Linked DNA regions of Danio rerio. The protein of the gene in region 3 purifies or fractionates together with the protein of the main gene of each other region. This does not show direct contact. Links are inferred from orthologs where the notes say so. Each region holds a gene or a part of one and is shown on either strand. Other genes may lie near its edges.

Region 1 (4,272 bases), on a different chromosome or scaffold from region 3:
GACATCAACTGGCCACTGCCCTCTTTTACATTAAAATATTGTCAAATTAATTTAGGCAGTATTTTCAAAATACATAAGGCATATCAATGTTACCCTGTGTGACAGCATCAAAAGGGACAGCCTTTTTCCTACAAGTCTTTGGGAAGATTCCTGGCTTCCTTGGAGCATCTTCTGGAGGATTGTTCAGCATCTGTCATTTTAAATCATAAATAAATAAACAATTAAAAAAATAATAAAATAGAATAAAATAATAATAATAATAATAATAAACCAAAAATATGATAAACATAAAAATAAAAAAATGGGTGTGTATACCCAAAGCTAGCAACTTGGTGTTTGTATTTACATTATCTTTTCTGTATTTAATAACAATGAGCCCTATCATACACCCGGCGCAATGTGGCACAAGGCCTGACGCAATTGTTGTTTGCTAGTTTAAGCTTTGGCACAAGAGTCGTTTTGAAGTTTTCCGCCACGCTGTTTAAATAGCAAATGCATTTGCGCTCATATGTGCGCCCATAGGTGTTCTGGTCTAAAAAGGAAGGCGCGTTGAGGCTCATTGCTGGCACGTTGCTATTTTGAGTAACTATAATAGTCTGTTCTATAGACCAGAACAAAGCCGGTCCATTGTCCAGCTCAGAATGCGTTAGTTGTGCGCCTCACTTACACATTGCTTAATACACACAAGATGTAGAGCAATACGCAAATATCTTTACATATGAAAAAGAATTAAAGTACTAAGGATATATAAATAGGATATATTGAGGATATAAATATAAGATAAAAATATAAAGGATTAAAATATTACAAAACATATTATATTCTAGCCCACATAAATATAAAAACCATACTTCCATGCATGCCTTCTTCATCTCGGGAGGCTTCTTTAGTTCATTCATGACTATTTGCTTTTGTGCAATGTTATTATTATTAGCTGTATTATTTATTATATGTATATTTATATTTGTTTTATTAAAAACAAGCTTAGATTTATCCACCTGTCAAGTTTTAGGCCATATGGGGCATAGCATGTGTATTAGGATATAATTCAGTTGTTTGAACACACTTTGTTAATATTGTTCATTTATTCATTTGCTGGAAATTAGAACTGAATTAAGAAATAGTTTTGAAACAAATCATTGCGTTTAATGAACAAAACTAATTATTTATAGGCTAATTGATGTCTGTGCATACAAGGTTTACGATCCACGAGAGCAAAAGTGAAAGTCGATAATGAGAAGGTCTTATCTCTTATTCTTATGCTGCAGACGCTCTGTTTAACTGTTTTCTTGCTAGTAAAATGCTCAGTTTTTCCTCTTACTTTACGTCATGTAAATAGCAAATGCGCTATGGCGCGATGCAACTGAATATTACAGGGAATGGGAGATGAGACTCTGATTGCTTTATTCTCAAAACACACCATAACTCCTTGAGAAAATAAGCTTAAGACCATGCGCCATGGCGCAAATCGGGTTTTTCCATTCTTATATTAGAAAAAGTGGATTCTGACACGCCCCTAATGCGTTTGCGCCCTGTGCTTTGCACTTTGATCGTCAAAATAGAGCCCAATAAATTATATAAAATATTAAAGTTATCAACAGTTACCTCAACAGCTTTTTGTGCTTGCTCTTGCGTCTCAAACTCCACAAATGCAAATCCTTTAGAATGCCTTGTGGACTTGTACCTGGGGATACTAATATAAACCACATGTCCACATTTGCTAAACACTCGCTCCAGCCAAATGTGAGTGACTGTCTTTGGCAACAGCTCCTAAAACACAATTTCAATTTTAAGAGAATACACATTGAAATGACACATACAGTATGCTAGCATTATTATGTATACTTATTTGTAGTAATTTACCACATAAACTGTGCGACTGTCCACATCTTTTGGGGTTTCACCAAGTGGTTCCTTTCGTCGTATACGAGTTCCCTCATCATTAACCTAAGCACACCACAGCTGTGTTACAGTTGCTAACAAAGTAAGTGGATAATTCTGAAATAAAATTCATTTTATAAAGGACAAGAAATTGTCAAACCAAATCATACCTCTACTATTGTTGAGTTTTTAAGAGCCCTGGCTATCAATTTGACATCTGCAGTTAGGTTTTTCATTCGGTTAAACGTTGTCAGGACGGCAATGTCAATATCTGCAATATATAAAATGTTAAGTGAAATATGTACGAATGATGGGTATCCTGACAGATAATCATACAATTAATAAAGTTACATACATCCATCTCGTGATTGCTCAATGATACTCTTCATGAATCTGTCCTTGTGAAGATTCACATCACCAAACCAAAATTCCACCTGCTTCTTCACATCAGACAGCAGCTGTTTCACCCGGGATCTCTTCTTTTTCTCGTTATCTTTTTTCTCACTCAAGTCTGCACAGGCGGTGTCCCCGACAGAAGACATCTTCTCTGTGTCTATCGTCTTGCTATGGTTGAATCAAAGTCATAAAATTATATATCTGAAATTGAATAACAATTACGTCGAGCTGGGTATCCGTTTCACATTTCTGTCTTAACATTCCCGCTCTCCCAGTTAACTTAAATAATAATCACTTAACATTACCGTTGACACACTTTCATCCAGTTATTACTTTACTAAAATAACACACATCACCAATTTATATGGTCATACTATTATTGTAAGATACTTTTATAGCAGAACACTAATAAACTTAGTTCAAAGCAAATCGTTCGTTTACGAATTTTACCAATGCCGACGACTCATTTTCTTTAATAGCTGCTGCTGCTGCTGCTGCTGCTGCTTCTTCTTCTTCTTCTTCTGGATTCTACCGACAGCTTGCACCTTTTTGTCCAACTACTGCCATCTTTTGTTGTTATATGTCATAGCAGGGATTGCTAAAGGGAATTTGATATATCGCCCTCCGAAGATAAATACAAACCCACAGAGCACAGACGTTTCAGAACCCACAATCCCCATTCCTGAGAACATTCCTATTTTTACTAAGTTGCTTTTTTAATCCTTACCTTGATTATCCTTAGTTTTTACACTTACAAAGTCCACCAATAGCAAATGTGCCATGGTGCGACCAATGACTGTAAGGGTGCAACCAAGCGGCCATAGATATATACACTAGATATCGCATAGGGACCCTGATCATGCGTCAATAGCGCCGCCACATTGGTGCAGTGCTCCTAGGACAAATGTCATTCAACCGCACTTGTCAAGACAGTATTATTACGTGAAGATGCGGGACTTTAGCGCTGTCTACGGGTGTAGTAACGAGCAAACGAAAACAAAGCACAAAGGCAGAAGATTTCATAGGTAAGATTAAGTTTTTACGTTTTTGTATGTTATGAACTTTTGTGCTAAACAGGTAACGTTATTGATGATAATCAATCACTTAACGTTACTGCATTCACCATAAGGCAAAGTAGCTCCAATTCGCACTAAATACTCGGCTTATGCTAGTTTTGTTGAATAAAATCAGCAAACAATGCAAAAGAAATATGACAACGAGATGAGTCGTTCATAAGGGAAATTCATTCACAAACGAATCGCTCCCTCCGTATGAGTAGTAAAAGCAGGAGAGGAGGTGTGTTTCAGGGCACGGATTAGATCAAATTTAACAAGGAGGGTAGATTGTACATTTCCGAATACACAAACACAAGCTTTTTGTCAGGAATGCCAATGCGATCACTGATCCATCAATGTAGAAAAGTGATGTAAAATGATAATTTCGTAATTTAAAAATTAATTTGCATACTAACATCCAGGAAAACTCCCGATCATAGATATATGTGTAGATCTCTGGCTTTGGATGGCCACAGTCCTCCACCACTGTACCTTGGTCCCGCATTTATTTCAAAGGAGCGCTACCCTGTTCCAAAATGGCGGCATTCTTTTCAATAGACAACAACAGGGTAGGCGACATTTAATGTATATATCTATGCCAAGCGGCAACCTCCCGCTTTCCCTCGATATCCCTGGATAAATTTATATTTATTACTTTTTTTATTTATTAATTAATAGTTATTTGATTTTACTGCTAAATTTTGGTTTAAAAACAATATTGCTTACTATAGATTACTACAGTATTTAATGTGGTAAATCATTTATTAAAAAGTTATTAAAAAAATAAGAAAATAAACACTATTAAATCGCTTGAGTAAAATATTAATTTAGTGTTATACATTTGTTACATGTAAAAAGATTTTTATTACATATAAAATGTATTATTGCCGATATTAACTTGCTACTTCCTTCATTAAATGAATCCGTTATATAAATTAAA
Region 2 (3,500 bases), on a different chromosome or scaffold from region 3:
CCCAGCTACTTAAATGAGTTTCATATACACATACAACCTCACATACAACTAAGGAACTCAATAAGTTTTAGGCAGATTTGTTACAAACCTACAATTGCTTGCTCAGGAAGACTGGACATATTGAGGAGTTTAGAATAACTTGTAGATTTAGTTAACAGTAACTCCATTTATCTTCAATTGGATCTCTGAAACTCTAAATGAAAACCAATTACCCCCCAAAAAAGCATATTGTACCAATCACAATCCAGTCATGAAAAACAGAATGTATCAAATGTTACACCTAATTTTCTTCAGCTATCCAGAGCTCACCTGCATGAGAAATGAGACGGGCTCCCACCAATTCTCCCACCATGACTGTGAGATTTGGTGCAATCGCCATCATGCGATTCTTCAGATAATCATACAGCTGTGTGCGGTACTCTGATATTTCAATAACCTGGAAGTAGAGAGGAAAAATATGAATCAACTACAGATTAACTATTGATAAAAACAGTTAATCCTGCAAACCAATATAAACTCAAGATGCTTCAGCCAAACTGTTGTTTAACACACCTGGTCACACAGGTGCATGATGTTAGCAATGTCCTCCTCAGACACCTCTGTGCCCATCGAGATCTCTGCAGCCAGCTTCACCTCCGCCTCAATCTCCTCTGGCAGAAACTCAGACAGCTCTGTCGTCGCCACATTTGTCCGATCACCTAAACAATGAATGAAAAAAAGACAACATTTTATCATTGAAAACCTTAGCTTTAGCTGTCAATTCATTATTCAGATAGCAGAATATGAGGATATTAATTGAATCTAAAGATTGCAGCCACTCTACAAAAAGTCTCTTCCAAAACTGATGCTTTATAAATACTCTTATACTTATAAACAATGAATCACAATAAAATTAGCTTTTAGATTGAAGTCTTCAAAAGAAATGCGATGGCTATTTATGATGTATAGAAATAATTTAGTCTTTAACACACATATAAACACCAGGGGACAATGTTTACACCATTCAAATTTGATGAGAAGTTCTGGTAAGTTTGCTCACACAACAAACCGGTATGGCTAAGCTTCTGTTTGTTTTAATGTGAATGTAAGCCAGAAATACAGTTTAATCATATAAAGCATGTGTGTTATGCCAGAAAACATTTAGTTAAAACTCATCCTAGGATAATTTAGATTTCTGATCTCCTAAAGTTTTGAAACGTCAGGATAAAACATACAATTCAGGGACATAAATCTTTCAGCTTTAATTTACCTTTAAGATGAGTTTGGACTTGCATAAAATGAGCAAACTTAATTTTTTTAAAATCTAATTTGATTTTAATTCTCTAACTTGTATATTTATATTTAATTTGTATTATCGGTGTGACTCACACACCTTTCACATGCACAACACACTTTGTAAGGAAAACCGAAATATGGATGCTTTTGCTGGAAGAACTAACCAATCTTGCGGACAGTCTTGCAGTATGCCAGGTTATCTGTGATGATCTTGCCAATCTCTGGAAAGTGCCAGCCGTACCATTCCCTGCAGCGCATGATGTAGTTATTGAGCTCCTTATCCAGATCATCCAGCAGAGCTGCAGGTGAAAAAGTGAAGTGTACATTTCATTAAAAAACTTCATCTATAAAAAAGGCCAACTTATACTAATTAATAGTATGTAAATAAAGATGTTTCTTACAGATTGCTTGAACAATCATGGTGTCCACCTTATCTGGGCTAAACTTCAGCTTGTAACGTGAAAGACTAGAAGATGCAATGAAAACCAGTCAATTGCTGAACAAACCTTGCATATGTAAAGAAAAATGAATATCTGCTCAGAGTCTCAGTGGTAGTGACGAAGGCTGAAGAATATCGTCAGAAAAGTCAGTCAGCACAAAATAATCATCGACATGAGCATAGAGTGCATTCGATCAAGTGTAAACTATAAACTAACCTGTGAGCTAAACCCAAAGACATGGCAGCAATCTCTCTGGCAGGAAGACCTGTGATGAGCCCCTCCATCTGGTTTCTGATGCCCCTCATGAGCTCAGCGACGGCAGGACTGTGCACGCAGCTCAGGTTTAGCTTTTCCTGCAGGGGGCGACAGAGAGTCTCAGTGGACACAGAAAAGGTTGTCCTAAAGCAATGTGGTATAAGCAAAGCTAGTGCTTTACAGCCACCTATAAATATCAGGTAAAAGGATAATTTGACTATTTTTAATTTCAAACAGTTCCCTTTTACAACATTACTGATGTAATGTAATTAACTTATAATCAGCTTACTAATCTTATTGATTTAGTTCTTCAGGCGCAAAACGAGATGAAGGCACCATGAGGATCAGCAGACGATCACTAAAATACCATTGAAAATACTGTCAAAATATATACTCCTATTTTAAAGACATGGCACAGAATAACTGAAATAACGCAGTCCTGCTTGTTCAGTCTTAGACCCACTTCATATTGTGTCTTAGTCAGGCATGGAACATCAGAGTTTTGGGGGAAAAAAACAAAACAAAAATAAAACCCAAATCTTTAATGTGGCTATTTTGTAGTGGCAGAACAAAAGTTCATCAGAAGGGATTGAGCTGGTTTACTGAAAATACCATGTGCATATCCCATTACAGTGCACAAGAGTGGTAATATTGAAACTGAACCAGTGTCCGTTCTACTGCTTAACCCTCCCAATGCATTCCAAAAATCTATTTACTTAGATCATTTTTAAAAATTAGCACAAAATAGTCCAAATGTATGACATGTTTTAAGTGATTTGTAGGTAAAGATATTCTGAAACATATGCTGTGTGTTCAAACTACTCATTTAAAATGAACTGAAACAACGATTCTTAGGGCAAACCTTACTGTTTTCTTCAATCCACCTAAATTTGTAAAGACTATTCATTTCATTTTGTCCCAACACAAACTAATTGTGGAAGCCAGCATATTTACGGTGCATTCAAACTGAATATATTTACTCACATAAATGTTAACAGGCAGTTGAAAAAGTAATTAACAGCCTGAATATGGTGATATTAGGTGGTGTAAAACAAACTAAAAGGATCTAAAGTAATAGGATAAAAAAAATTAACTTTAATAAATGACTCCTTGAGAAATAAACAAGCTCAGATGAGGTAGTGACAAAAAAGCCTCATGATTTTTCAGCAAAATGACGCATGGTCATCATCATCACAGCTTGTTGTTTCTCACAGTCCAAATATCTGCAGTATCATTTCAGCACATTAAAACCTGAAATCCTGCAGCTTACCTTAATGACTCCTCCCAGTTTAGCGTCAGTGATGGCCAGCTGCTCGTGAGCCTCTTTGGCCACAACCTTCTTCAGAACTTTCTTCAGACTTTTCCCCAGTTTGCCCTCCACCATGGCTGTGGCCGCTGAAGATGCACAAGGATTTTGAAAGTGAATACTCTTATATCTGTTTTGTCTTGCACTATATACATTAAGAGTAAGATAATTGTGGTCTCAGTGGTAGTGACGAATAACTGTTTGGTGACCTCATGGTTGAATTG
Region 3 (4,021 bases):
GTGACTGCTGGAGCTCAGCGTTAAGACGCGTGTATAGCCTACACTGCAGCGCATGACAGAGTGTGCTTGTGTGTGTTTGTGGTCATGTTATGTGCGTTTTCAGGGGTATAATGTGGAAGCGCTAGATGAAACGCCAGTTTACATGGATCGTTTTCGTTCTAAAATGCCATTTGTAAACGGGGCCTGAGTGTGTATTTTTTGCGAGCAGATTTGCGACAGGGGTGGAGGATTGTGATGTCTATCGGTCATCGACAATGGATGATGGCATCATCTATCAACCCAACCCTACTTGATAATGTAGATTTTAGACTAAAGCAGCTAATATTAATTTACAATGAGGAAGGGCAGAGGGTTGCTGAAGAACTACTGAGAGATTTCAACTGCTGCCTGGGCTTTCACTGTGGTTCCCTTTCTTCATGTGTTCAATACTTTTTCCCTGCTCACTTCATTTTATTTGGCATAACCTAATTTGTAAACTAATTAGATTTGTTTTACATATATGGATTTTTTGCTTGTTACTAACATCCAGGGAAAGATTCAAGTCAACAGCACCTTTAGAAATACATTTTCCAAAAAAAAAAAAATGGTGATGCGTTCAATGCTTAATATCCACGCTCTATTTATCTATCTATCTTTCAAACCATTGTTAGTGCGAAGGAAATAATCATTTAATATGTAGTATAATTGTAAAATCATTCATCATTTTATAAATTAAGCCAGAGTACTGTTTTTTTATAAAATACACTTTGCTAAAATGTAATACGATTTTCTACACATTTAAAATCACTTTTAAATTCTTTTTTAAAAAAAGCCATAAGGCACATGCAATATATATATATATATGGGAGTAAAATAAAACTGCTTTAATATCCTGCTTACCAAAACCACCCCTGCCTCCTCGAAATCCTCCTCTTCCTCCGCGGTCTCCTCCGCCTCGTCCCCTTCCACCAAATCCTCCACGACCACCACCTCCCCTTGGGCTGAATCCTGAAGAGAAATATTACTTTGATGAAGGGAAAGAGCAAAACATTTAAAAGAAAAGGAGAAAAAACGCATTTGTGGATCATACTATTACTAAACCAGTTTAAAGTTGCAAGTGACTCCTTACAATAACCAGAAAAACATTTTTTATAGTTTCTTGTTTTCACCGGGTGGTATGGTAGAGCACATTTTTAACTTTGCACTGTCCGAAGTACCAAAAACAAGTCTGCTGTACTGCATTTATGGAAACTTTTAATAAATCAAAATTGCATTCACACAAATTTATGAAATCCATTAGTAACCACATTTGGGCCTGAAGACATACAAAAACAAAACATTCATTTTGTAAAAAGCTAAAACTTTCCAAATGCTTAAAAAGCCTCAAAATATTAACTTTTTTTAATGGTTACATTTGTAGCATATATATTTGGTACAGAACCAATTAAAAGAAGTTACTTTTCATTTCGTGTCATTTTAGAATGAATTACTATTAGGTGTCAAAAACGTTTCGTAAAAAATATAAAAGTTTAGTCAGAATCCATATAAAAACTTTAATCCATATAAAATCAATTAAATCCATATTAAAAAATTTAGTCTATCTTTAATATTTAATATAAAAAATAATTGCAAAAACCTTTTCTGCATTCACTCAATGAACAGCTGCTGTTCAGACAACATGGTTTTAGTTGATGTTTCATAAATACAAAATAACCCTTCTCTTGGCAAATAAGAAGTCGAATGTCATGATATTAGAGCGCTAAATGACAGCATTAAGAGGGTTAAATGATTGAAAAAGTTTATATTCACACATTCATTCAGTGACAACTTGTGACATGTTTCCTATATTGTTTACTATAACGTTTGTACTTTTAATATTCGGTCTGAAATTACAAGCAAGTATGACTCGAATACATTGACACTGTATTTGACTGTAAATAACACAAGCACTACGCATTTAACTGTGAGCAATATTGTACTTTGATAGTCACTCGCTGCTAAAATGATTTCATTATTTAGAATTTGCAAATAATATTTTTGAGAAAGTCCCTGTGTGTGAATGTAAAACTAACTTTACCTCAAGTCCATGTGAATATACCCCACTTTTGGAGACCACACAACAAACAACAGTTACATCTCGCTCAAAATACATTCTGTTTTGGGTGTATTTATGTCTTTGTTCATCCACAACAACAAAACTACTTATTGTACAAGAGGAAAAAACGTGTATTCCTCTAACGTTACTTCTAATAACTCGACAACGCACAAACTCAAATGTACAAAAAGTTGAATAAAGTTACACAAAACTCACCATTTAAAATAAAACACATTAACTAGACAACTAGTTTCAGAAACAAAAGCAAACTGGTTATTATCTCTAACTAGTTAAAAGCCATGTGGGGCTTCAGCACCGCGTGTAACAGCATGGCTCGGTCGCACGCACGTGCAGCGTTGTAACATGTGTAACGTTATTTACATGTACAAAAATAACGTTATTTACAACAAAATCACTTTTTAACAATTCTACACCAAAGCTTGTAATAAATTAAATAACAATGCCATGACATTTAAAGAGAACGAGCGTTTCTTTCACAAAACTGCAAGTGCGTGGCTAACTCATCCGGCTAACTCTAAACCAACACTTATAAACAGCGTTACTTGGATTATATTTTATAGCGTTGACTTTAGCTTTTAAAATCGAAATGTGTACATAACTTACCTGGTCTCATTTTATCTTATTTTGTGCGGTTGTTTTAACTGTACGAATAGCTGGCGTTAACTCAGACCCGCTTTTCCTCCGGTCTACTGCTGCACTGATCAGGTGGCCACATGTGCGTCGAACGTCTTTACCCACAATGCACTTGAAAAAAAGTCGTGATTTTACTCGTTGTTTCGCCATCTAGCGGGAAACATTGCAGCTACAATCATGAATCTGCTGCCTTCATGAGCCCTTTCAGTTCAATTCCCAGAGACTTTTCGGCTATTTGCTACTAAATGGTGAGGACTAACGATAAAATCAACAACACTACTAATACAATCTAATATAGGCTAGTTTTCTGCTTAAATTAATACACAGCGGATGCCCTTCCAGCTGCAACCCAGTACAGGGAAACATCAATATACACACTCAAACTCGACCACCCGGAGGAAACCCACAGGGAACACGGGGAGAACATGCAAACTCCAGAACTGACCCAACCGGGACTCGAACCAGCGACCTTTTTGCTGTGAAGGGACAGCGCTACAGCCACTGTGCCACCATCGGTTTATTCCATATTGTAAAAAGTTCCCTTATATTATTCCATTGTCTTTCAAGGTATACAGGTGAAGTATGATTTTAAGATTTTATCCGGGTCTTACAAACTGGATGACTGCTCTCTAAAAAAAGTTGAGTTATTTATTTAACCCAATTGTTGAGTTAAAAATTTTTAGTACTTAGTTGGGTTATATTTAACCTTTATTTAATCATTCATGAATAACTCAACTAGTTGGGTTAAATGCTTGGTGCCTTGTTGGGTTATTTATTTATTTATTTTTTGGTTATTTATTTAATAACTCAACTAATTGGGTGTAAAGATGCAATTCAAATTAAATGAAATATATTTTCTAACTTAAATGAATACAAATGTATGAGTGTACATTTAGGTAATGTATAGGTACAGTTAAAGAAATCTTATAAAATGTATCTTAAATAAATCTTAGTCTTATCTTAAATCCCTCACTCATCATTGTGTTGTCCACTCGTAGGCTCAAGGCATATCTTTGTTTTTAAGTCTATTCTGGGTTTATTCCCCTCATATCTATAAACTTACATTTGTAAAAAAAAAACAAAAAAAAAAAACTCTCTAGCTATAGTCTTTGGCCTCAGGAAGTGTATTTGGGCCATTTCTTCAACTACTGGCACTTTTAGCCTTGTAAAGTTGAGTAAAAAAATGGTTAAAAATTATCGTAACATAGCCACATAAGTTTAAACAGTTTGTCTAGTTTTACGATCTGTAAGAGGACCAACTTAGATAAGAAGAGAAACATTTTTTCATGGTGA
Region 4 (3,946 bases), on a different chromosome or scaffold from region 3:
GTTTTTGGTTATAAAGTTTGTGGACATAAGAACGGTCTAATACTAAGATTCATCTTTCCAAAATAAAACTTTAAATCTTGCAGATTCCTAACTTTAGTGTGGTAGTGTATGTGCAAACACTGCTGCAAATATAAATCACAATTGTATTATTTAATTTACTCGTCTTTTTTAAGGAACTGTAAGTGTAACAATGTTTATGATAATGATGAAACAAAATAATAATATTAATAAAATAAATAAGTAAATAAAAATATTAATAAAAAGGCAAATATGATTGAAATCTTTATAGGTTTAAAAAAAAGATCAATTAATGAAAATCTACAATTACACTCATTCAGACCTGTACTCATTACAATGGATAAACACATTAGTGATCATATCATATTTAAATAGACTTTATTACAAACATTTTGCTGATAAAATAGGTAAAACCTTGTGGTGTTAAGCAAAGTGGCATATCCAAAGCATACCAATGACAAAACTTATTATTAGACTGAAGTACAGCTCAGTGTTTCTGCTCTCAGCCATAAACAAACTCTAATACAACTTATACCTTTAGATAAAGCATGTGGTAGAAATATAAACAGTAAATCAATTTCAACAACAACATTAACATAAATGTTTACCTGCAAAAACAAATAAACAAACAAATAATGCGATTAAACTAAGGAGAAAGACATTAAAAATACAAAGAAAACAGCTGAACACAATTAAACATCGCGCATTTTACACTCACCTTAAAATGCTGATCCCTGTACTGGCTCACATCAACATAGGAGTCGCTGAAAAGAGCATTTAACTTTATGGACATTGTGAAAAAAGCAAATTAATTGAGGAAAAGTGAAGCTGGACGTGTTTAAATCAGCACGACACACAAAGCGGAAAGCGCTCTTCTTCATATGTGCATGACACCGGCTCACACTGCTTTACCGCCACCTACTGTTGAGAGCAGCTAAGGCTACGACATTGTTGATTACCTTTGCCTACTACTTAAATAATTTAAGCAACAATTCATTGAGCAAAACAGTAGTGCGAAGAGACAAATAAACAAATATTTCCCACTATTATTTGACTTTACATTTCTTCTTCTCGTTTGTCTCCCGCTTTTCCTCGCGATAAGACCGCGAGCAGTCTGTGACGTCATCTGCGATATCCAACATGGACGTGCGGATAAACAGCGGCGTTTCTGCTCGAGCAGAGAGAAAAGAGCAAGAAAAGGCCAAAATAATCCAGCGAGAGAAACAACGGCAGACTATGAAGACGGTATGAAAACATTACAAATAATCCATATTCATATGAACTGAATCTGCGATGTGGTACACAATTAAAGCCATACAGCCGGTGCTAATCAGCCGTTGCCCCTCATTCCCATGGTAACCACAGGATCTATCACTAGCGTAATTACAGTAGGGAAGCTGATGGTCAGTCAAGATGAGGCAGACTGTACAACCTGTAAAGACGCGGTTTACTGTGCTAAATAGGGATTTGCCCTCATATTTGGTTCAATATCTCTTTATGAGGGTTAAAGGACCAGTTGTAAGAAAATAACCCATATTTGATATTCATCCTGCTGAAATAAACAAACAAAACAACAGGAGACCACCACAGAAGACTGAATGGGTACTGAGGTAGAGTTGGTTTATATTCGCACATTCGTCCATTAAGAAGTCTCTATATTGTTTACCATGTTTCCTTGAATATTCAGTCAGTATTAGCATGCCAGTGTGACTTGAAAGCAACATGAACACTATCTGGTAGACTGATCAATGCTGTACTGTGATCATTAATAGCTGCTAATGTGGTTTCCTTCTTTAGAATTTGCAAACAACACTTTCCTGACATGATATTATTAAAGAGAAGGTCTGAATGTCTGAATATAAAAGCAACTTTAGCTCTATGGAATGGGTTTGATTATATTTATAATGGAGGTGTTTAGGTCACACTCCTCCTCTGTGCACCGGGCACTTTGTTTGAAACACTTCTGTTTCTGTTTGTACAGAATATAATGATAATGATAGCTCCTCTACATGTTTATACTTGTGCCCTTTTCTACAGCCACATACTCTATATCTAAAGTCTTCAAATATATTATATTTGCTTTTATTTTCTGTTGCATAACCTCTACTTCTCATAATTTCTATTCTTATTATTATTCTTATTCTTATTATTATTATTATTATTATTATTATTATTATTGTCATTATGTTTAAGGTCATGAGTGGTTGAGTAATGCCGAGTTCAGACTGCAGGATTTTAGCCCTGATGTTGACTTGTCGAGAGGTTTCTACCATAATCTATGCAAAAGTTATTCAAACTGACGAGAGAACGGAACCACTAATGGGTGTATTGGGCCAGTACAAACCTTTAAAATTGAAAGAGTTCTGAAGTAAATGACTTGACGGACCGGTACCAGAGCTTAGGAGGTGTATTGCACACATTTTATTCATCCATTTTCTGTTAGTCCTTTTATTAATCAGGGGTCGCCACAGCAGAATGAACCGCCAACTTATCCAGCATATGTTTTACACAGCGGATGCCCTTCCAGCTGCAACCCATCTCTGGGAAACACCCATACACACTCATACACTGAGGCCAATTTAACCTACCCAGTTCCCCTATAGCGCATGTGTTTGGACTGTTGGGTAAACCGGAGCACCCGAAGGAAACCCACGCCAACACGGGGAGAACATGCAAACTCCACACAGAAACGCCAACTGGCCCAGCTGAGACTCAAACCAGTGGCTTTCTTGCTGTGAGGTGACAGCACTACCTACTGCGCCACTGTGTTGCCGTCCACACATGTTATGTTAAATTGAATGCAAATGTGACAGGACTGACCGAAACACAGGACAATTGTACATTTAATTGTGTTATAAATTTGTATAAAGGTTATTTATAATTTCAGTTGAAGGGAATCATAATAAGTAAATAACTAAATAACAACTATTTTTTTTCTAAATAACAGTTTTTAGCATAACAAATCTATTAATTCTGTAGGTTTATTTGGGCTGACGACAAGGACAGGGTTAGTAAATTTCTAAAGTGTTTTTAATAAACAACAAAAATCAGAATAACTGAAATCAAGCCCATTTTAGACATTTTTGGGATGAAACACTATTTATTCACTGTATTTGTATTTTGATGGACAGATAATGTACAGTATTGGTCATATGTCCTGTAAGCATTTCCCTGCATGTCATATGATGCATGACTGTGTATGTGACTAATACAATGTGAATTTTACCATTAGACCCTTAATAACATGGCTCCTATATTTAATTTCAGCAGCTTTACAGTAATCTGTCTTGAGTTAATAATATCTATGGAGGACCAAACTTGCAAAAATTAAAAATAAGAACAAACTGATTGTTCCAGATCTCGAAGATCCTCCAGAAGTGTGAGTCTGAGTGGACAGAGGAGGAGCGGTCGATGCTGCAGGCGCATCAGGACACCGTGCAGGAGCTGAGCCGACGACAGAACCGCAGACACCTGCTCAAGAGGAAACAAGAGGAGGTACAGAGTGTGCTGTAAACTAACGCTGAACATTATATTATAATATGTGTGTCTACAATAGTTTAACATTAAAATATATGATTAAATATTGCTGAATAAATCATTCATATAATAAAGACCATGTTATTTTACGTTTGATTGTTTAATTTATGTATTTGAATACCGTCAGACTCCCCAGAAAGCCATGAAGCACTGTTCATTTCACTTTTATTTTTGCACTTTTCTTTTATTAGTTTTAGTTATAAAAAGTCTTGGTTTCATTAGGTAATGCTTGTTAATGTATTTACTAACATGAACTTATGAACGATATTTGTACAACATTTATTATTCATAACTCAACCATGTACTCATGCATTATAGACATCCACATTTGTGTTTGTCAACATTAGTTAATGTGAAGTAACAAATCCACAACTGAATTTTCATTAACTAA
Region 5 (4,034 bases), on a different chromosome or scaffold from region 3:
TTGGGTGTGATGTTGGACATTACTGTATAAGGAAAACAATTCAACAGGTAATGTACTTCTTAAAGAAACTATTGTCTTTTAATGTTGACAAAACATTGTTGATCATGTTTTATAGCGATTTTATTGAAAGTATTACAACATTTTGTGTGATATGTTGCTTCTGCAGCCCAGAGGAGGTAACTGGGGAAGTAAAAACAGCCAGTACGTTGTTGGGAATATAACTAAAGAGCATTAATAGTATATACAAAGAAAGAGTACTAAATAACCCTGCTGAAAAATCCAGCTTAAACCAGCCTAGGCTGGTTGGCTGGTTTTAGCTGGTTGACCAGCCTGGTTTTAGAGGGGTTTTGGCCATTTCCAGGCTGGTTTCCAGCCATTTCCACCCTGGTCTTAGCTGGTCAGGCTGGAAAATAACCAGCCAAATCCAGCTAAAACCAGCTTGACCAGCCTGGTTTAAGCTGGACATAGCTGGTTTTGGTTGGACTCCCAGCTTGGCTTGACTGGTCAAGCTGGTTTTAGCTGGTCATCTCCCAGCCTGACCAGCTAAGACCAGGCTGGAAATGGCTGGAAACCAGCCTGGAAGTGGCCAAAACCCCTCTAAAACCAGCCTGGTCGACCAGCTAAAACCAGCCAACCAGCCTAGGCTGGTTTAAGCTGGATTTTTCAGCAGGGAAGGCTGTCATGATTGTCAATGATGAGAGGCATCCTTTGTTACCATCAAGTCATCAATATTGTGTTCTCAGATATTTTGAGAAACAGGACAAAATTATAATTTGTACCTCAAGCAATTAAGTTTTGAAATTCCTTGAGGGCTAGTAGACTGGATATTTATTTAGAGTAGGGTACAATGTTTTATACGATTTATTTATATAAATGTGAAATGTCTCTAAGTGTATGCTGCATGAAATTTCCCTACGGGGACAAGTAAAGTTAACTAACTTAATTTTGGGGATTTTAATAAAAATGGATAAGAGAGGTATTAACATTTTCCAATTCATGTAGATCAAAACATTTAAAACCAAAGTGACATCTGAGCCGATTTGAAGGAAGTCTTTCAATAAAAATGTACCTTAAATTGCATTCTTAGTAGCATTTTAGATCTCTGATACAATAAAGCTACATTAATGATACAATGAAGTGTCTAAAATAGCATGTTTAGCATGACGCACTTATTGTGCGCCATTTTCCGAGCCTCCACGTGACGATGAAATAACCTATCGCGCTCCTCCTCCACGTGAGTGCAACGAAGATGGCGGAGGACAGCACGGTGCCTAGCGATCTCTACCAACATGTGTACTCGTTTCTCGTGGAAAACAAGTTCGCCAAAGCCGCGAAGGAGTTTTTGAGGCAGGCTAAAGTGGTAAGAGTTGCTTCAGTTGTTTGTTTGGAGTGGTCACGCGCGTGGAGGTTGTTAACGCTTAGCTCGGTTTTTTTCTGCACACGCGTGGGAGCGAGTCGCAGTTAGTGCGGGACACGTGTTTACGAGCTGCTGTAGATTATGTGTTAAATAAGGTTTCATTTCTGCCGGTCGTTGTGTCATTTTACCCTGTTATAACACAGCTAAGCGTTTTTGTACATGCAACCTTTTTTTCTTTGTAAAAACTGAATTTGATTCACTGAAGATGGGCTTCGGGTTCTCAGCAGGTTCAGTCTTGTCTGGACTGCATATACTAGAGTAATAAAGTGATGTATTTGGGTAAAGTTGGTTTTTATATTCGCACATTCAGAATATCTCCTCAATGATATAATTTCAGAAAATAATACTTAACAAATTCTAAGTAGTCATTGGCTCCTAATATGATTTCCCATTGAAAGTACAGCATTTTCACAGTTAAGTAACTAGTGCTTTGGTTGTTTTTTTTAAACATTTTTTTATTGGAGAAAAACACTTGAAATTTAACATGAAAATACACTTGTTTTTTTTTTTAATATATTTTTTTACACTTCCCCCTTCCCACCCCCAAAGCATCCACGTTCAGTATAGCAGGTAGATGTATTGGTATAACGTTACATGGGCTAAGGTAAAGAAAAACATACTGTATTCCACAAATAAAAATACACATGTCAATCAATTAATCAATAGTGTGAGAGGTATTTGATTGTGCCATTGTATAGTTATGTTCCAAAAATTGTATAAACAGATCCCAAATTTTATGGTACTCCTTTAATTTGCCTTTTATACTGTAGGTTATTCTTTCCAGTGCAATGTAATGTGTCAAATCTTTTAGCCAGTGATCAATCGATGGACTTTCTGTGTTCTTCCAATAGAGTGCTATCAAACGCCTTGCAATAACAAGACACATATCAATCATTTTAGTTTTATAACCTGATAATGACAAACCTACAGGAAATAAACCCAAAGCGCATATATTGGTTTTAAAATAATTGATGAAATTAATGTTATTACATTTTGCCAGAAATTCTTAATCAACTCGCATTCCCAGATACAATGAAAGAATGTTCCTTTATGTTTTTAGCATTTGAAATGTATATCTGGGATGTTTGGGTTAAACTTGTTTAGTTGTTCAGGTGTGATATAAGTGCGCATTGCCCAGTTATATTGGATCATTTTAAATCTAGTATAATTGACAAGTTCTGGGCTTTAACACATTTGGCTCCATTCTAAATCTGTCAGGTCAAATTGTAAATCTGTACACCAAGAATCTTTCTTAGATTCTGATGTTTCTTTAGAGCCATTGACTAATTTGCTATAAAACAAGGAAATATAATTTGTCATAGGATTCTGATAAAACATTATTTTTTCGCTTGTGGTGTTTTAGTCATACTTGCATGCTATTTCAGACCAAATATTCAGAGTAGCATGGTAAACAATATAAAGACCGTGTCAAAAGTGTTCACTCTTCAAAAATAAACGAAAGTGCGAATATAAAGCCAACTTTACCTCAGCTGGAGAGTCATTGTTTTTCCATGGTTTGATCATGATTTATGAATTGTAATTGTTTAAACCAGGGATGTCCAAATTCGGTCCTGGAGGGTCGATGTCCTGCATAGTTTAGCTTCAACTTGCTTCAACACATCTGACTGGAAGTTTGTAGTAACTTATTTCTAGAAAAAGAGCTTGATTAGCTGGTTCAGGTCTGTTTAATTGGGGTTAGAACTAAAATATGTAGGACATTGTCCCTCCAGGACCGAGTTTGGACACCTCTGGTTCAATAAAATTGAACAACAGAGCTAATATGTAAAATAAGTGTAGTAAATTAATCAATGTGTTATGTCACCACAGAGAAGTCTGCTTCAAACTCTCTTACATTATTGATAATATTTGAGGTGAAGTTGGTTTTTATATCCGCACATTCATGCTTTCAAAAATCATATTAGCAGCCAACTACTATCAACACCGTTCACAGTCAGTTAAATGGTGCTAACGTTGATTTGAAGTCATACTTGCATGCTATTTTAGACCGAATAGTATGGTAAACAATGTGTCAAGTTATCGCTGTTAAAAATAAACGAATGTGTGATGTGTAAAATGTGTAAAACCAACTTAACCTCAGTTTAACACAATGTTTACATTTCATGTATTAAATGTTTAATATTTAAGTTCTTCAAATTTTTTTTTTTGATACACTCAATATAAATTGCAATCAACTTTTTGTTTTCATCAGAAACCTCAAGACCAAAATGAGGACAGTCTTATGGACATCTTCAATTTCTGGGTCAAGTATGTATATGTTGTGTCTTCATTATTACTATGATCTCTGTACCTCGATCTAGCCCAGGGATTCTCAACCGGTGGGCCTCAGGGATCCTGCAGGTGGGCCACGAAACGTAACTCAATATTATACTAGAATTTCAGGATTTTACTATTAATATGCTATATTAAATGACTGAAGTAATGCACTTTCTCCTGTTCGCTTATTGACTATTTCAAACTTGGTGCAAAAAAAGCCTCATGATTGTGTCTGCAACTAGTACACGCAAGTCTGTTCATTCACAATGCGTGAAGTGAAAGTCTCTCTTTGCGCATTTTTGTGTTAACTATTTAATATATCTGCAGTTGTCCAAAAGAATGT
Region 6 (3,500 bases), on a different chromosome or scaffold from region 3:
AGAATATAAGAATTCGGTCTGCAAGAGTTAAATTCACTTTCCGGCTTATTTTACTTTGAACAGACCGATACACAATACAAATTACATCATTTGCAAGTATTGCAATAAGTATTGCAATATGAATAGTTTCATAAGATGGTTTGAATAGCTCTATTTGACAGTCTTCAGGGGAGTCTAAGGCTACGTTCACACTGCAGCCAAATGTGGCCCAAATGAATCTGCAGCGTAGTAGAATGGCACCGGGCAATTACTTCACCACAGAAACGTGGTTGTTCATGTTGAAAAATATTTTGAAGGCAAAACTGGTGCTTGTTACCCAATCTGGTTACCAATTGGGGCGTGGGTTGATAGCAAAGCCGAAGAGGGTTGTTGTGGATAGGGGATCCATGCACAAAGGAGAGGCACTTTCATTTTAAGGACGAACATTCTCTCCGAGAGAAAAAAAAGGGCAAGCAGCCAAACCTCCCTTCTGCATGTGCCTGTTGTTTATAACGATGTAAAATGAAATAACTCTGCAAACGGAGATAAACCAACTCCTTCACTGTTCAGTCTGCGGCTGCTCATTAACCCTTGATGAGCTCATTACAGCGGTGGCCTGAAAGACGCGCACCGCGGTTGTCATAAATCACAAATGATCAGTGTTTTCAATCACAAGAGACCTATTTTAGGTTTTAAATGGTGAAATACACATTAGTAGTAGCAGAACAACCCTTTACAGTTCCTTAAATACACCACGGTTGTCTGTGAAAAGGGTAATAATCATATTAAGCATAATCTGACAATGTGCTTCATACAGTATATTATACATTGTGTTTATAATATGACATTTTGTGGCCCCCGTAGTGTGCTTTTGCGCATGTGGATCACTACACATCTGTTAACTATAACAACAATGTGAACAGCCATGCAAAAAAATTTGATTTGAGCACTAAACCTTGCAGGGTGAACATAGCCTAACAGTTTTTGTGTACAGTAATTGAACCACAATGCAACTTTTCCTTATAAAAATATTCCTGTAGAGTCAATCACATCTCAAATAAAAGCAATACAGAAACATCATCCATGTTTACTCAGAGCTTTTAGCTGAATACCTTTGATAAGTTTTATTAACATATGCATTCGGTCTGTATAATAAGGCTGCAAAATACTGGAAAATACGCGAGGTGGTCGAGTATTGCGATTAACAATACCACTTATAACATAATTTCCCAAAAAAAGTTATAATATTAGCTATGTTAAATAATTTATGCAAGATATTAACAAACAGTTCAAACATACTTGTCAGATCTAATTTAAACTAAAAAACGGTGAAGGTGCAAACATTTAGTCTTGAGTGAAAGTCAGATATTTCTGACTGTAACTGGCTGTTGTTATTTTTCTTTCTCATCTTGACTCCTGTCATTATTGTTTATTTTCAGCTCTGGCTTTACCTTTGGGCTGCTCAAGCCAATAGTAGACATACCTGCCAACACTTCCGTTTTTCCTGGGAGTCTCCCCTATTTTAGACCCATCTCCCGCCACCCTCCTGTTTTGTTATTTCTCCCAGAAAACTACCGTTCTTTCACTCCCACCCCCTCCAGTCCTCAGCTTTTTAGTACAGTCTGTAACAACCCCGGATCAGCGACTGTGGTATAGTATCCGATTGCAGCGGCTGCCTGAAACCCGGTGCAAAGTACAGTTACTTAGCAGTGTTATTCAGAAACCTCACCCCCGACACCTAGACATCCCCACCACTCCCACCAGAACTACTCCAAATCACCCCCCATCCCCGCCCCAACTTCCACCCACCACCACGACAAATTTTCAAACACAAATGTAGGCAGATATGATAGTAAAACAGCAACTAACAGAGAGGTAGGGATATAGCAAGGCTCCATCTGATTGGTCAAATTTAGATAAACAACCAATGCATAAAATAAATGTAATTCATTACACACGTCTTTATTTTGCATATACTATTATCACGATAATGATAATTTTACCATTATAGTGATATATTGTGCAGCCCTACTATCCATCCATCCATCCATCCATCTATCTATCTATCTATCTATCTATCTATCCATCTATCTATCAATATCTATACGTGTGCGCAAGCATTTATATCTAAAAAAAATATTAAAATATAAACAGAGCTGGATTCAGTTTTAATGCATCCATTCATCGGATATAATATTAACAACAACATCACACAGCTTTTGTGTTAAATTTATATTCTATAAATCCAATCAAGAGGTTGTGAACTGAAATGAAATCAGCACATCTGAATTGATACCCAGATCTACACACCGACATGTGCACTTACAGAGTTTCTACATAGGCGTTTTCATCCACACTCCACACTTTAATGGAGCGGTCATGTGACGCACTGTAGAGAGTATGAGTCCCTCGTCTAAAAGCCAAACCCTGCCGAGAAAGTTTAAGAGCATGAGAAACATATTCAATCAAATATGTGCGGGCTGAAATATAAGGCAGACATTTCATCATATTCAAAACATATTCGTATTTGTTTACTCACCGATATGGCACCTCTGTGTCCTGTAAACTTGAACAAATGTTTACATGTCTCTGGATCCCAGATCATGATGTGTTTATTCATATCCCCGCTAGCCTATGAAACACACAAAACAATCAGTAAACATCAGTGAAATCTCTCAAATAGCAAACCAACTCTCTACCTCTCTCAGGCCTAAAATAAACATTAGTAAATTTATTTCAGGATAGAATGTCTGCACTGATTAAATCTTAAACTGCACTGTAAGTGTATATAAACATGCAATCTGATCCACTGAATGTTTCTCCATAATCTTTTGACTTGAGCAGCTTATAAGTGCTTGCAGAATATTATCCATATATCTCCATCTCTCTAAATGCTAAGAGTTTAAGTGACTTGAGCATTTGAAAACACAAAACAGCAATTTGTAAAGTGAAAGATTTAAAAGCTTGTAGTCCAAAAATAGATGAATTTGAAATCAAAGTATTAAGAGTATAAACAGGGTTTCTGCTAAGTTTAAGACTTTAAGAAATTTTTAAGAACAATACAAATGAAATGTTAGGCTCTTTAAGAGCTAAACGCTAAGGAATTTTTCAAATTTCAGATGGGGTGCCCTATCAAAAAATTATTATAATTTAATATTATTGAGATGGATTGTTGGTGATTTTATGAGTGTTAATGGTCAGATTGGGTAGCAATACATGAACAAAGGAAAATTAGGACCTGTTTAAAAAAAGATTTAAGACATAACACAAAATTTCAGTAAATGTAAGACTTTAAGGCCTAAAACTTAAGCTTTTGAGATTTAAGACATTAAGACCCCATGGACACCCTAAAAAAGAATCTATAGCTGTATGGTTTAATGTTTGAAAGTAAAAAAAAAAAAAAAGTAATTTCATCTATAAGTATATAAGAAGCTCATTGGAAAAAACAGATAACCACAATCTTTACATTTTTCACTTTTGTCACTGAACTCTTCAATACTCATAGTAAAATATGATTTCTG

Evidence for each region.
Region 1: the proteins of fbl (region 3) and larp7 purify together in Homo sapiens (affinity purification with mass spectrometry; 3 studies listed by BioGRID and IntAct, counting the BioPlex papers as one, with this or other methods). This does not show direct contact. The link is inferred for Danio rerio from reciprocal best matches to the Homo sapiens genes FBL and LARP7.
Region 2: the proteins of fbl (region 3) and nop58 purify together in Homo sapiens (affinity purification with mass spectrometry; 7 studies listed by BioGRID and IntAct, counting the BioPlex papers as one, with this or other methods). This does not show direct contact. The link is inferred for Danio rerio from reciprocal best matches to the Homo sapiens genes FBL and NOP58.
Region 4: the proteins of fbl (region 3) and sirt7 purify together in Homo sapiens (affinity purification with mass spectrometry; 3 studies listed by BioGRID, with this or other methods). This does not show direct contact. The link is inferred for Danio rerio from reciprocal best matches to the Homo sapiens genes FBL and SIRT7.
Region 5: the proteins of fbl (region 3) and nolc1 fractionate together in Homo sapiens (co-fractionation; 3 studies listed by BioGRID, with this or other methods). This does not show direct contact. The link is inferred for Danio rerio from reciprocal best matches to the Homo sapiens genes FBL and NOLC1.
Region 6: the proteins of fbl (region 3) and rrp9 purify together in Homo sapiens (affinity purification with mass spectrometry; 3 studies listed by BioGRID and IntAct, counting the BioPlex papers as one, with this or other methods). This does not show direct contact. The link is inferred for Danio rerio from reciprocal best matches to the Homo sapiens genes FBL and RRP9.

What each region holds. Positions count from the first base shown.
Region 1 is NC_133182.1:62,360,976-62,365,247, forward strand, and holds the start of larp7 (la-related protein 7), read right to left. Parts: upstream 2,801-4,272; 5' UTR 2,745-2,800; coding exon 2,728-2,744; intron 2,724-2,727; exon of another isoform or gene 2,600-2,723; coding exon of another isoform or gene 2,583-2,599; intron 2,446-2,582; coding exon 2,237-2,445; intron 2,153-2,236; coding exon 2,052-2,152; intron 1,948-2,051; coding exon 1,864-1,947; intron 1,771-1,863; coding exon 1,606-1,770; intron 191-1,605; coding exon 94-190; intron 1-93. UniProt on the Homo sapiens protein: RNA-binding protein that specifically binds distinct small nuclear RNA (snRNAs) and regulates their processing and function.
Region 2 is NC_133181.1:10,596,748-10,600,247, forward strand, and holds part of nop58 (nucleolar protein 58), read right to left. Parts: exon of another isoform or gene 3,442-3,500; intron 3,366-3,441; coding exon 3,241-3,365; intron 3,174-3,240; exon of another isoform or gene 3,091-3,173; intron 2,069-3,090; coding exon 1,932-2,068; intron 1,742-1,931; coding exon 1,677-1,741; intron 1,575-1,676; coding exon 1,440-1,574; intron 699-1,439; coding exon 553-698; intron 437-552; coding exon 310-436; intron 1-309. UniProt on the Homo sapiens protein: Required for the biogenesis of box C/D snoRNAs such as U3, U8 and U14 snoRNAs. Part of the small subunit (SSU) processome, first precursor of the small eukaryotic ribosomal subunit.
Region 3 is NC_133191.1:46,606,246-46,610,266, forward strand, and holds the start of fbl (rRNA 2'-O-methyltransferase fibrillarin), read right to left. Parts: upstream 2,801-4,021; 5' UTR 2,709-2,800; coding exon 2,699-2,708; intron 988-2,698; coding exon 880-987; intron 1-879.
Region 4 is NC_133197.1:41,135,129-41,139,074, forward strand, and holds the start of sirt7 (NAD-dependent protein deacetylase sirtuin-7), read left to right. Parts: upstream 1-1,146; 5' UTR 1,147-1,158; coding exon 1,159-1,263; exon of another isoform or gene 1,264-1,616; coding exon of another isoform or gene 1,617-1,628; intron 1,629-3,375; coding exon 3,376-3,513; intron 3,514-3,946. UniProt on the Homo sapiens protein: NAD-dependent protein-lysine deacylase that can act both as a deacetylase or deacylase (desuccinylase, depropionylase, deglutarylase and dedecanoylase), depending on the context. Specifically mediates deacetylation of histone H3 at 'Lys-18' (H3K18Ac).
Region 5 is NC_133188.1:4,947,783-4,951,816, reverse strand, and holds the start of nolc1 (nucleolar and coiled-body phosphoprotein 1), read left to right. Parts: upstream 1-1,234; 5' UTR 1,235-1,249; coding exon 1,250-1,360; intron 1,361-3,626; coding exon 3,627-3,682; intron 3,683-4,034. UniProt on the Homo sapiens protein: Nucleolar protein that acts as a regulator of RNA polymerase I by connecting RNA polymerase I with enzymes responsible for ribosomal processing and modification.
Region 6 is NC_133186.1:38,619,024-38,622,523, forward strand, and holds part of rrp9 (U3 small nucleolar RNA-interacting protein 2), read right to left. Parts: intron 2,612-3,500; coding exon 2,519-2,611; intron 2,407-2,518; coding exon 2,306-2,406; intron 1-2,305. UniProt on the Homo sapiens protein: Component of a nucleolar small nuclear ribonucleoprotein particle (snoRNP) thought to participate in the processing and modification of pre-ribosomal RNA (pre-rRNA).